Linked DNA regions of Styela clava. The protein of the gene in region 1 interacts with the protein of each later gene in a biochemical or structural test. Links are inferred from orthologs where the notes say so. Each region holds a gene or a part of one and is shown on either strand. Other genes may lie near its edges.

What was found. The genes of interacting proteins can lie anywhere in the genome.
Region 2: the proteins of ubiquitin-conjugating enzyme E2 N-like (region 1) and ubiquitin thioesterase OTUB1-like form a complex in vitro, tested with the Homo sapiens proteins (6 studies listed by BioGRID and IntAct, with this or other methods). The link is inferred for Styela clava from reciprocal best matches to the Homo sapiens genes UBE2N and OTUB1.

The regions. Positions count from the first base shown.
Region 1 is NC_135258.1:13,557,672-13,564,186, reverse strand, and holds the start of ubiquitin-conjugating enzyme E2 N-like, read right to left. Parts: upstream 3,120-6,515; 5' UTR 2,945-3,119; coding exon 2,912-2,944; intron 2,665-2,911; coding exon 2,563-2,664; intron 1,432-2,562; coding exon 1,287-1,431; intron 711-1,286; coding exon 570-710; intron 1-569. UniProt on the Homo sapiens protein: The UBE2V1-UBE2N and UBE2V2-UBE2N heterodimers catalyze the synthesis of non-canonical 'Lys-63'-linked polyubiquitin chains. This type of polyubiquitination does not lead to protein degradation by the proteasome.
Region 2 is NC_135260.1:14,938,551-14,945,065, reverse strand, and holds the start of ubiquitin thioesterase OTUB1-like, read right to left. Parts: upstream 3,729-6,515; 5' UTR 3,669-3,728; coding exon 3,590-3,668; intron 2,951-3,589; coding exon 2,889-2,950; intron 2,683-2,888; coding exon 2,584-2,682; intron 2,189-2,583; coding exon 2,070-2,188; intron 1,735-2,069; coding exon 1,650-1,734; intron 849-1,649; coding exon 654-848; intron 1-653. Other genes in the region: NAD-dependent protein deacylase sirtuin-5, mitochondrial-like, read right to left, coding at 4,367-5,263; protein SCO1 homolog, mitochondrial-like, read right to left, coding at 5,865-6,515. UniProt on the Homo sapiens protein: Hydrolase that can specifically remove 'Lys-48'-linked conjugated ubiquitin from proteins and plays an important regulatory role at the level of protein turnover by preventing degradation.

The DNA of each region.
Region 1 (6,515 bases):
TATCAACTTTCCAGGTATATGTGTGTTGGTGGTTGAGAAAGAAGAATCTGTACCAGTGGTTCTCAACCTTTTTTCTTGTGTGACCCACTTTCATTGCGTAAAAGTTCTATGGCCCATCAACTAACTCATGTACCGTATATGGAAAAACTACAAAGAATGCTTTCCGTGAATATAAACATTTCCACTTTAATAATTGAAAAACAGCATCATCATTCATTGCTACTACAATCAAAGTTTAACTGAACTATCAATAACTTTTAATGGATTTGTGGCCCACTTAAAAATGTTTCTTGGAAGGTATCTGTGGCCCAAAAGTGAAAAATGACATGTATATACAAAATAAAGGGTACCCCTGTAGTATGTGTACCGGGTTAGGCTATAATTTTATTTCGAATTTCCCTATTTTTAGTTCAATTACGAGTTCGGAGACTATATACCCCCTGCCCATAGGCTTCAGTCTCTTTACACAAGTAGGCAAACAAAATTTTTACCTCCATATTGGTACACATACTTATGGAGCACCAAATAAATTATATATCTGCACAAGAATAACTAAAAAAAACACAAACCTTTTTTAATTGCCGAATTTTCATCTAGTTTCCAAGCCTCTGCAACATCATTAGCTAGAGGATCATCTGGATTAGGTGCACTTAATAAAGCTTGTATTGAAAGCAAAACCGTTCTTATCTGTAGTGCTGGGCTCCACTTATCTAAAAAATGGATTCAAAATGTTAATTTGGACATTCTGTTTTATTTTTCATAATATTTCAACTTTGATTCAAGATTGTAACATCCTGACTTGCCAGGCATGGATATCTTAAATTAACAGAAAAATTTACATTGTCAGTGGCATTGCAGTGTAATTTCATTGGGGACTAAACTTGTAGGATTTATCCTGGGGGAGAAGAAAGCCGATAAGACAGCTTAATCATATGGCGAACCACAAAGCCTCTCGCCCCGGTTACCAGTCCATGTCGAGTATGGGATTAGTTGGCCATTTATTTTTATTTTTTTAGAAGCATGGACTTATAGGTAGAGGAAGCCGTATATGACTAGCGGTTACGCGAACCACCAGACGGCGGCGAGGAGTCCAGCAATCCTCTCGCACATAACTCTCCCTGCCTGGAATTTGAACCTGCGAACCCATGCAGGATAATCAGAGGTGCGTTGGTGTGAGTATTCCTGACGCTTAGCATGATGTGCCACACCGTCGAGCCAAGCTCCTATGTCAAGCATAAAAATAATTCAGGGTTAATTCAAAGCTTAAGAATCAAAAAAGACATCACCTTTTAAAATATCTAGACATATTCTTCCAAGTTTATCAATATTTGGATGATAAATTTTTGTCATAAAACGAACTTTTGGTGGTGCCATAGGATAGTCCTCAGGTAAAAATAATTCTAATTTGAATATACCCCCTTCATATGGTGACTACAAATAAAAAGAATAAATGATTAATTGTAAATGATACGACTAAAGTTACATATTATTTTTATAGAGAAAATTATGGTGAGCAGAAATCGTCGAATTAGGCATAACAATACTTTTTCTACACTATGTTCTTGTTTTCCTCAACTTTTAAAACTTGTTCCATCCAGAAAAGTTTTTGATCATTAAATTCATTTAGTAGTGAGCCGTGATCAATTCATAATTAGACTTCTGGTCAAGGATTTCCACAACCTAATATTTTGCTTATCATATTTTTGTTTAAAACTTCCATTATATTTTAATATATCACAGATATAAGGGTTCAACCAATCATATTCGTATCTAACGGTAATAATATTTTGGAATAACTAATTGATATGCCACAGTGAACCCAGTGGTGGGATTCAGCCGGTTCGCACAGTTTCTATAGAACCGTCTTACAGAATTTTATGAGATCAAAGAACCGGTTAGCATTACTGATTACTGTCAATGGGTTTTTGCATCTTATCTGACACACCGATTTTCTGGATCAAGTAGCTCATGTTTTTTTTCAAAATGTGAAATGATCAAGTTCGCACACGTAACAGTTATGCATTGTGTTAACTTTTATAATTGTAGTAATTTTCCTTTTGTGATTGTTTGTCTGAAAATTGAATTGTTGCATCATAGGTAAAAGTCATGAGACGACTGCTGCTTTTTAGTGTGGCTGTTAGCAGTGATGGGATTGAGCCGGTTATATACAGCAAATCAGCAATATCGACAATCCTCAACATCATTGAAAATTTTGAAATGGTAATTAGGAAGTAATTTAAAATAATCAGTTTACTTGCTAAAAAATTATGACTTTTTGTAACAGAACCGGCTGAAAAATATGACTTTTGTGATGGAACCGGCTGACAAAAATTTGAATCCCACTACCGAGTGTACCCCAGTGCTAAAGTGAATCTAGGTATACAAGGCGAATAACTACTTATACATCATTTCTTTAATACTATCGCGAGTAATAGCTTTTCGTGCCACTGTTTCATCAGATTGTTAGTTAGAAAACTCTATGCTAATTAACCATTATCCAAATAAATTGCTGAAGATCAAGTAGTTGAAAAGATTGATATAACCTAATTATTTACAACTTACATCTTGTGGACCTACGACTGTTACTTTAAAATAGCGCGCATTCGATTCAACAGGAATGGCACATATGCCAGGTGGAGAATCTGACACTAATCTTTGTGTTTCCTGAAAAATAACAAGGCAATCTAATTAGAAAGCATTATTTAGACTTGTCAACCATGATTACATTGTTCATAAATGGATAAATAATACTTTAAGATCCATAGAATATATTAAAGACAATATACTATACAGTATATTTATGTCAAAAACATTCTTTCATGCATAATCTTTTTTTATTTCATTCAGGATTTTTCTAAACAACTGTGAAGAAGATTTGATTGAAACTGAAAGAAGATGTTGAATAGTCTACCTTTATAATTCTTCTGGGGATACCGGCAGCCATGTATTATTGTTGATATGTGCCCAGGTGTCCAATATACTCAATGTTCGATGACCAATAGCGAGTATTCAGGTATTTGAGAAAGTCTTTAAGTTTAAACAACCACACAAATTGACAAAGATCTAATTTACATGAGCTAGATAGAGTTTAATACCCTGAAAGTTGAATTTAAAATTTAGCTATTACCGGTACTGTACTACGAATTATCACAGCCATCACAATTTGTAAAAACGAAACAAAGGCCTCGATATCACAGTACCGTACTCTGGTACTGACTATCATGTTGTGTATCATGTTTCAGTCTATCTAGCTACCGTACTGGTACACCAGCTGTTCAGCTATAGGTACCGGTACCGTATTACAGTAATTTGTATAAGTGGCTCAAAATGCAAAACCAACACTGGTATATTAAAAAACCTAAGTTATTGAGTAAAGGAAGTCCAAGTTCGGAACTCTGCAGCTATCATACTAGAATGTTCATCCTGTTTCCACCGTTGTTTCGCGAGACCCTCGCCCTGGCTGTCGGAGTCGATTGCAAATTTTCCCCGATTCCCGACTCCGGATTAAAGAAATTTTGCTCTGACTTCGATTTCCATGAGAAAAATGAAATTGAGTTTTAATTTAAGAAAATTTGGTAACAAAAACCGCATGCAGGTCATTGAAAATCTGAAATTATAACTACGACGAATACGAAATTTCCACTCTAGCATCGAAGGTGTTTGAAAACACGACGTTCGCTCCGACTACGTGGAATACATCTCAAACTCCAGCTTCACAACCCTGATTCTCAAGTTATTTCTCCACCTTCGTATATATACGTTATACATCATACGTAGGCTTACCATACGTCCCGGTTTAGCCGGGACAGTCCCGGTTTTGACAAGCTTTCCCGGCGTCCCGTCCGGTAGACTTAAATGTCCCGGTTATGTAGCGTGGCAGTCAAAAACAATTTTTATAATATTATCACAAGTTATTTTTTTGACGGAAGCATCCAATTTATCTCTTATTCACTAGTTAACAGAGGGAGAGAAAACTGCTGTTTTGTGTCATAGGCAGTGGCGTAGCAAGACTCTCGTGGAAATGACCCTAAAAACTCTCGGACATAAGCTAAAACGCTTTTTTTATTTCGTCAAAAAGCATAGCATGTTGTTATTAAAAGGCAATGGTAACCTAATATTTGCCGTTTATCTTGGTGACTTTAATTTTTTCATACGTGCTCCCTCTTCTGCGTTTCTGTGCGCCACTGAGAGGTTTTGCTCTCGACATCATTCTGACAGCCTTCGTAATTTTGCCGGTGCGAACAAACCACAAGACGCGAAAAATCGACGACTCCCTGGCATTGTTACGTAACAAAACGATTTGAGCAGAACTAACATAAACGTTATAAGATGTGCATTAACAGATTACCTGGTTTTGCAATGCAGCTTTTGGTTTTGCGGCTTATATTTCTAAATTCTAACCGCTTGGGCCCCTTTGCGCTGTTTGCCCTCCCGCGACCGCGGGGGTGGATGCTACGCCACTGGTCATAGGTATTATATTTTGCGATAATTTGACACACAATGTTAACTGACCTGTCGATAAATTATCAAAGTGCCAAATGGACGCGTAGAAAGACGAGGGACAATAATGTTTTTTTCAAACTCAAAAATAAAACTGAAACGAGCTTTTACGAGACCGGCAAAGGATTTGCGGCTCATTTACCTTAAAACTGAATTCAACATCATTCCGTGTCTCTCTTATGTCGATTATTGAAATGTTCAAATAATTGCTGCTTTTATAAATACGGTAATGTTTGGCGACTGCGCGTACGAATTAATTTATTTAGATAATTCAATGCCCGGAATCTACTTGCAAAGATATGATAGAAGTTTCAGATATTACTTAGTCTCAGAATCGAACCAAAGTTAGTCCGATCCGCACTGTCCCGGTTTTTTGTTCCAGATATATGGTAAGCCTAATCATACGGCAATTTGTTTTTATAAACTCAGCTTTGAAATATTGGGTAAATATTTCTCTGAGATAGTCCATATTGATACCCTAGTTGAAGTTCGGCGTATCATGAACCGAGATTGCGAAAAATAACATGGATTTTAAAGTTATGCCACAGAAGGGAAAAAAAGATGATGACCTTGGTTAAGGTGTCACTTCTCGCCAGTTAACCATTCCGTCACAAAAAGGAAGTCAAAGAGTTGGTAGTAAATTGTATAACTCCGGCTGGGTGAAATATACCTTCAAGGAATTATCCAATTCGTAGCATTTTTGTATTATTGACTACAGAGTGTACATATTGATCGTTTTGATAAATGTTATTGTCGTTATTAGCTCTTTGATTGGGCACATAAAAACTGACTACTTGGGTTTTTATATCTGTATAAAGTTGAAGGAAGATTGATCAATACGTGATTAAACTGGACTTGGTGGGACAAACTCAAATCAATGAAATGGAAAACACATATTCACCCACCGAAGTCAATTCACGTGCTTTTGTTTCGACGCCAAACTAAAAATGCCTGGTAAAGCATTTTAGTGATGAAATGATAAGGTTGCAACGTGGTTTTGTATTGCGGGGTACAGAATTGCAGAAATACACACGCCGTCTGGAAACAATGGTTTTAAATTAAAATGCGGGTGGAGGCTCTTATCGTAGGCATAGGTATAAGAAAATATGTCGGTGTAGACTACTACAAGAGACACAGTTAAATGCTCAAAAATACCAGGAAACAGATGGATCAGAAACAGATGGATACCCTCCGACCTCTAAAACAGAATCAGATTTTCCATAGGTTGTCGAAAACGTCCAGCAAAAACAATAATCTGATAACTGAGACTTGTGATCTAATGAACACATTTTGTCTCCTTGAAAACAATTACTGCTCTTTTCCAAGAAAACTATTCATTCATTCCCTGTGAACATTTATCGATATTTTCATGGTTTTCATTACACACCCAGCTTAAGTAATTAGTCTCCACAACTTTTTTACGTTTGTGAAAGAAATTTTCTTTCCCCGCTGTGTGTTTAGTATTTGTTTCGATGCTTTCGTTAAGTTTGATGGCCGTCATACTTGCTTCCCTGCGTATTCCCTTACTAGTTCTTTCAACTTTTTGACAATTCATTTTCTATATTATTCACCAGCGAATTAATTACACATAACTTGTATTTCTTTTTTTGATACACCCATTTGCCATTTTGTTATAAAAATGTACATTGTTTTGTTTTTTCACAAATAATTCACGGCTCGTTATATCGTGCATTTCCTCCACCATCACGTCCATGCATCTGGAAAAAATACCTGACTAACTAACCCCATACTCGATATAAACTGGTAACCAAACGAGAGGCCGTGGTTCACCATATGTTCAAGCTGTCTTATCGGCTTTCCTCACCCCCGGAATAAAACAAACTTTCATTGTGCAAATGACGCTATTCGACAGAATCCGGATATGACTTTTTACGATTTAATTGCAAAAATGCGCGATATAAATATCTGGGCACGTTCGGGCATAATCAGAGCGGAAGTTAAAGAAAAGGTATGATTAGGTAAATACGAGAAAAACTGACTCATCTATGGAAATC
Region 2 (6,515 bases), on another chromosome or scaffold:
TCCTACAAAAACCAATGTGTTATCAGTTTGCATTATAAGAATCACTATAATATCTAGTAAAAAGAACTCAAGACCACCGGTTCACAAACATTTTAAAATCCCATTTTGTCAAAGATGCTTAAAAATACAATTCAGGGTAGTTTAGTGAGAATAGGATTTTATTTGCACGAAGATGATAGGACGACTTATTGATCATATAGCAGAGCACATAAATAACGACTCTTAATATTATTTCATCTGCATGGATGTAATCGGCTGAGGAAGCTGTAGCTGACCAGTAATAAATGCACATGAATGTTTTCAGCATGGTGGTCTAATGGTTATTAATTAAAGCATTGGACAAATCTAGGATGACATCACAAGTAAAAATCCCATACCCACCACCCAGGATATCAAAATTGGGTAGGCAACGTGGAACCAGAAAAATCCGTTTTTTTCCAGACTCTAGCAGCCCCTTACATAACTGTGCTTGCTTGAGCATGATCTTGTTCGGAGTGAGAGGGATATATTTACATTGTATAAAAAATTTTGTCAAGACGATATCTATTATCATTTATCAACTGAAGACGAAAAAATTAAAACTCCTAACTGGATCAAAATGTTCCTAACCACTAAAATTGCCCAATAGAAGAAATGATAATTATTGAATTTACCCCTTTACAGAAATCTTCAACAGTTCTATACTCATCAACAAAATTCTGAAAAAATTCACTGTTTTGTTGTAAATGACTTGAAGTAACCAATCGTAAATAAACAACTAAATAATTAGAGATTCCTTCATCTCTGAATGTTTGCAAAAGTTCTTCTACCGTTATTCCAGATCCTACAGAATCCACAACTGATATAAACTGAAGAGAAAAAAATGAAATAAGGCAATGATCAATGCAAACTATTTCACAAACTCCCCTGAAAGTTTACTATGCAATTAACATGGCATCTTCGGCAAAAAGCATCAGTTTAATCACATAGTGTAACATGGCCTCTCGTTCGCTCACATGTCGATATGGCTGTAAGGATGGGCAATGTACAATGACTTACTATTCTAAAATACTTCAATCCAATCATATTCTGTTTCCATAGTTACCAATATTTGTGTGAGTGAGAATTCCCCATCACATTGCTTGATTAAAAATTTAAAAAAGTAAAATTGTAGCCTAATGTATTACTATCTTTTTTGTACATTTTATTTCATTCCAAACAGGCATTTCTCAGGACAATGAAATTCAAGAGAAGGCGTGTCATAAAAGTACAGTATTTGAATTACGACACTCGCAAATATTATTTGATGTTAATTGATCGTAAACATTGTTATAGCATTTAACATCTGGCTTTCCGCGAAAAACCATTTAATGGAAAATGAAACATGGTAAAGTGAGTATCGCCAAGTGAGATAGTAAAGTCGGAAAACGCGAAAATGTAGCAATAAAGAGTACTCGTTGTGGTATGTTTGCCGTTTTTACGCTCGTCTTAGTTTCAATACGTAGAAACCGGTAATAAAAAAATTTACGCTTGGAACCGAATCCTGTTCTCAGATCCTTCTGGATTCGAACTCCAGACGATTCAGTATTCTGAATTGACCCGGTATGGGATTGGCTAGTGAGTTAATTGTTTCATATGCATGGGCTTAATGCTATATTTTCGAAACTTACTTGATCATGAAAATCTTCCACAGTGAATGAAGGATAACCTAATTTTTCTAATTTGTCTTTGGTTTCTGAAGCTTTTGCTCTGAACCTGGTGCAATAAAGAGCAACACGTTGATAATCAATCTAGTATATTATATACAGTAATAAATTCTTTGATTAGGATTAAGGAGTCATTTATAGGGATATTTTTATGGAAGTAGGCGAAGTACTAAAGTCTTCTTGATTCGTCATAGGCTATTTATGACAACCAGAGTGTGTATTTGAAATATTCCATGAGACTAGGCGGTTAGTGCATGATGTTAAGTGTGAAGATTGCGCAGCACTTGTGAACTGTAAATCTTTAACATGGCAATCTCCCAAATTATTAGATTGTTGCATATATCTGTTGTGTGTGTCTTCATTTGCAATGTGACAAAATCTTACCCAGAAAAACAATCTTTATTTTGCAGCAGATACTCAAGATAACCAAACCCAAAAGCTCTATAGAAACAATTACCATCTCCCCTTGTCTTCCTAACATGGCTGTACTTCTCTGAAAGAATCTGAAAAATTTGTGAAAAGTACAGTTATCAAGAATGCCATAATAAATGTAATGATTCCCTATTTTAAACTGGATAAAAATAAGGAGAAAATGTATTTGATATGCTTCAAATATATACATAAACATTTCTTTATCACAGTATTCCAATCTAATAGAATGTGTATGCTCAAAAACCACTTCTAAATAATTTACACAAGACACAATGTAAAATTTATGAACATGGGGTTTTATTTGGTGTAGAAATTTCCTCATTTGTGGTAAATCCATACAAGTATAGCTATTAGTGTTACTTCCATAAATTCAATAGCGGGCAACAAAAATATAATCCAAAAAAGCAATATGAATTCTGAATTAAACGAGCAATTTTCTAACTATAGGAAAGCTAACTAACAATACCTTCACTTTTTGTAAATATACAGCATCATCTTCAGCATATTCGTTTTGTAGTTGCATGATTTCCATCTTATCACTAACCAATTCGTTTTCTTTTGCTATCTGTTTATAAAACGGAAGAAATATGAGGATAGTAAAAACAATGAATTGTTCATCCCTGGTGACAGCGACTCTGTTGTCCACAAATGAAGATAGATTTGACAGCATGAACACTTATGAAATAACGGTTCCAGATAGTTTAGCAAATCATATATGCCATATTTGTTCAAAAACTATCTTAAACAGAGCAAGAAAAAAAATTGTCTTACATCTTTCTGTATTTGATTATGCATTGCATATATCGCTTCATCAATTTCCTGGTTTTGCATTGCTGGAAAATGATAAGTGAATATATTATACAAAAAAATAGCAAAAGCATCGAAGTGTAAGGTACAATTCCCTAATCCTCGTGTCATGGGTCATCCAAGTTGATCTCCGAGTTTTGGTATCACTGTTGATTACAAGTTTGAGTCATTTCATTTAGCTGACTCTAGGACACCGGTTCTCAACTAGAGGGCCATGGCCCACGGAAACATTTTTAGATGGGACATCAGTTATTGATGAATTGGTATCATTTACCGGAATTGAGTGGTAATTTTCATTTTGATTAAAAAAGTGGCATTGTCTATTTTTGCAGGGAGGAATTTTTTTTTATTTAGTTTTTCTCTTGAATGAGAAAGTTGCTGGGCCACAGAATTGTTTTTGTGCAACGAAAGTGCGCCAGAAAAGAAAAAAGGTTGAAACCATTGCTCTCGTCTCTTTGATTCATTAATGAATGCTTACGCTGGCCTCTCCAATACCAGGGGTACCCTTCTTCTATTTGAAATTAATGGTATAATAAATCCCATTCCAGTAAAATTTTCTAGGTATTTACCATGGCTACTACATATCTAGTTGAATCTGAAATATACGAAGTTTAAAATGATAATAAAATCCCTTAAAATCAAAACTTCATGTATATTCATTATACCTTGTAAAATTGCACCATCCGAATCACTTGTGTCCTGTTTGACTTCTTCATCGGATTTACTATTACTGGTTGCCATCATGAGATGGAATAACAAAGAATTATTTATATTCTGCTAAAAGTCAAGCAAGTAAAATTACAGAGAAAGATAAGCTATTTAACACAGTCTATAGATTGCACTCTGGGCATTTTAAGCATATGTATTATAAAATAATCTAGAACTAGACATGTGATTGAGGAAGGTTTTTAGAAACGATTATAAAATTTTTCTTATATATTTCTGTGATATGATACGAAGAAAAGTTGAGAATGCCTAGCCATGACAATGTCATACTATTGACTATTGAGGGACATTGATATAATATGCAATTTATGTTTATGGGACATTGGGACAATAGTAACATATACTCCATTTATAATATTTTATGTGATATGATTTGAATCAAAGACATCCAAAAAAGACTAACATAGTTAAGCATAAACAATAGCATCATTTTAATACATTGCTCTGTATTATTAACATGATGTGAACGGTATTTCTAATTGCACTATATGAAATATTTAAAAGGTATAGATTTTATCATCAGGTTACATATGCTCCCAGCAAAAAGCAGCAATTTACAAAGTGTTGTACCATAAGATGCAATAAGTACGGAGTAAAAATGTATAGGAGAATAATTAAAAAAAAGTGCTATCATAAAACATATGGAAGATAAATTACATGTTGACTGCAATATATTTGCATCATATACAAGTGTCAATTCGACCTCAGTTAGCAGATCAAGGGGCTAAGGCTTTTGGTATCCACTCTCCCGCAGGACCACAAAAATGGTATTTAAAGTTCATGGTTGCAGGTGTATCCTCCAAATTGAACTCCGCCACAGTAACACCACGGTAAGATAACATCGGAGCAAACATGGCAGCCGGGTAAACAACAGACGATGTACCAACAACCAGACAAAGATCACATTTTTCAAGTTCTTCGCCTGCTCGCTCGAGAACTTTTTGATCTAGTCCTTCACCAAACCAAACAACATCGGGCCTCAATAATCCATCACAACTTTTACATTTCGGCAAATTTTCGACTGGTATTTTTGCATCTTGAGCAGTTGGGTCAGGAGCACCCCGATCTCTCAATGCCTCACAGATCGGAGAATCTTTGTTCACATCCACTTTTCCACACTTTGTGCATCGAACTCTGAACAATGATCCATGTAATTCAATAATGTTTTCAGATCCTGCTGTCTTGTGGAGCTCATCTATATTCTGAGTAATGACAGTTAATTTCCGAGCATTACTCTTCAAACGACTTTCGCATTCTGCGATAGCCAAATGCGCAGGATTTGGATTTTTTGTTATCATGACTTCACGACGGTAATGATAAAATTCCCAAACTAATGATGGATTAGATTCAAATGCTTTTGGTGACGCTAAATCCTGAGCCTGCCATTTTCTCCAAAAGCCACCAGCTCCGCGGAATGTGGGCACCCCACTTTCTGCACTTACTCCTGCGCCAGACAGCACAACAATATTCTTTGCTCGTTCAAACTCTGCACGGAAAGCAGCCAAATCCGAACTTGGTCTTGCTGCTGCCATGGTGTAAATAGATATCGAAGACTTCACAATTTGGTGTAAAATACTTTTACATGAATTAGAGAAATGTAGAAAACATTTCATACTATTATAGCACTAAATTAGTACTAGTTTCTAAATTAAAAAACCATTATTTGCCATTAATAAGAATTTTAAAAAATATATCATTTTGCTAAGATAGGTGATTGCTACTTGGGTGCATTATCCTATTTGGTAAGAGATAGTGTTTGAACATATAGACGAGGAGCTATAACTGAAAAAAGGCAATATGCAACATATGCATATAATAAAAGGTCGCTGCTAAAACCAATAATAAATTATTAGCAGAGTTCTATAAGATTGTAAATCGATAGTATCCAACAGCATGAGATTTTCATAACAAGATATATTCAATTAGGTTCCATTACATTTGAACCCACGTACATTTGAACCCATGACAATTGCTCCTGTATGCTATTGCACCTATGGAATTTTTTTTGTTAGTTAAACCCATACTAACCCTAACCCATGGGTTTTAGCACCCGAATATAGATTGAACCTGTGGATATACGCATGGGTTCAAATGTACGTGGGTTCAAATGTACGGTCACCATTCAATTTTGCCCGAATTTCATTGTTTCTATAACGAAGATAATGCTTTGCATTTTTCAGATAAGAATCTACTTGATAATAAATTAGTTGTTTTTCAATCTTTGTGCTTGAATTTTAACATTATTGAAGAAATACTTGAAGACATTTCTCCTGCTGATTTGTTTTGACCAAAATATTCACAAAATTCCCCATCAGGATTTAATAAATACATTATCACAGTATGGTCTACAATATAATCATCTTCCGAGTCTTTTGGACCTTCAGCATAATAAACTCTAAAAGCTCTTGAAGCATTTTCAACTTGCTCACGATTTCCAGTCAAACCAATAAGATTAGGATGAAAATCAGCAATATATTTTTTAACAGCATCAGGAGTGTCTCTGTCAGGATCAATACTTATAAATAAAGGTTGAACGTCTGGCAACTGCGGAGTTCTCTTGATTGTATCAACAACATTTCCCATTTTTTCTAGTTCTTCAGGACAAATGTCAGGACAGTGGGTGAACCCAAAGTAGATAAGAACCCATTGACCTAAAAAGTCGCGATTACTGCATTGTTTGCCGTCTTGATCTATAAGAGTAAAATCTCCCCCTAAAGCTGGTTTTCCCATTGACTTTATCATATTAGATTCAAATTTCTCTTCTTTTTTCGACTTGAAATGCTTCATAATAAGGATAGAAATAGAACCTACAGTTGCAATAAACAACACAGACATCCAACCTACACCAGGTGCTAGTGTTGGCGA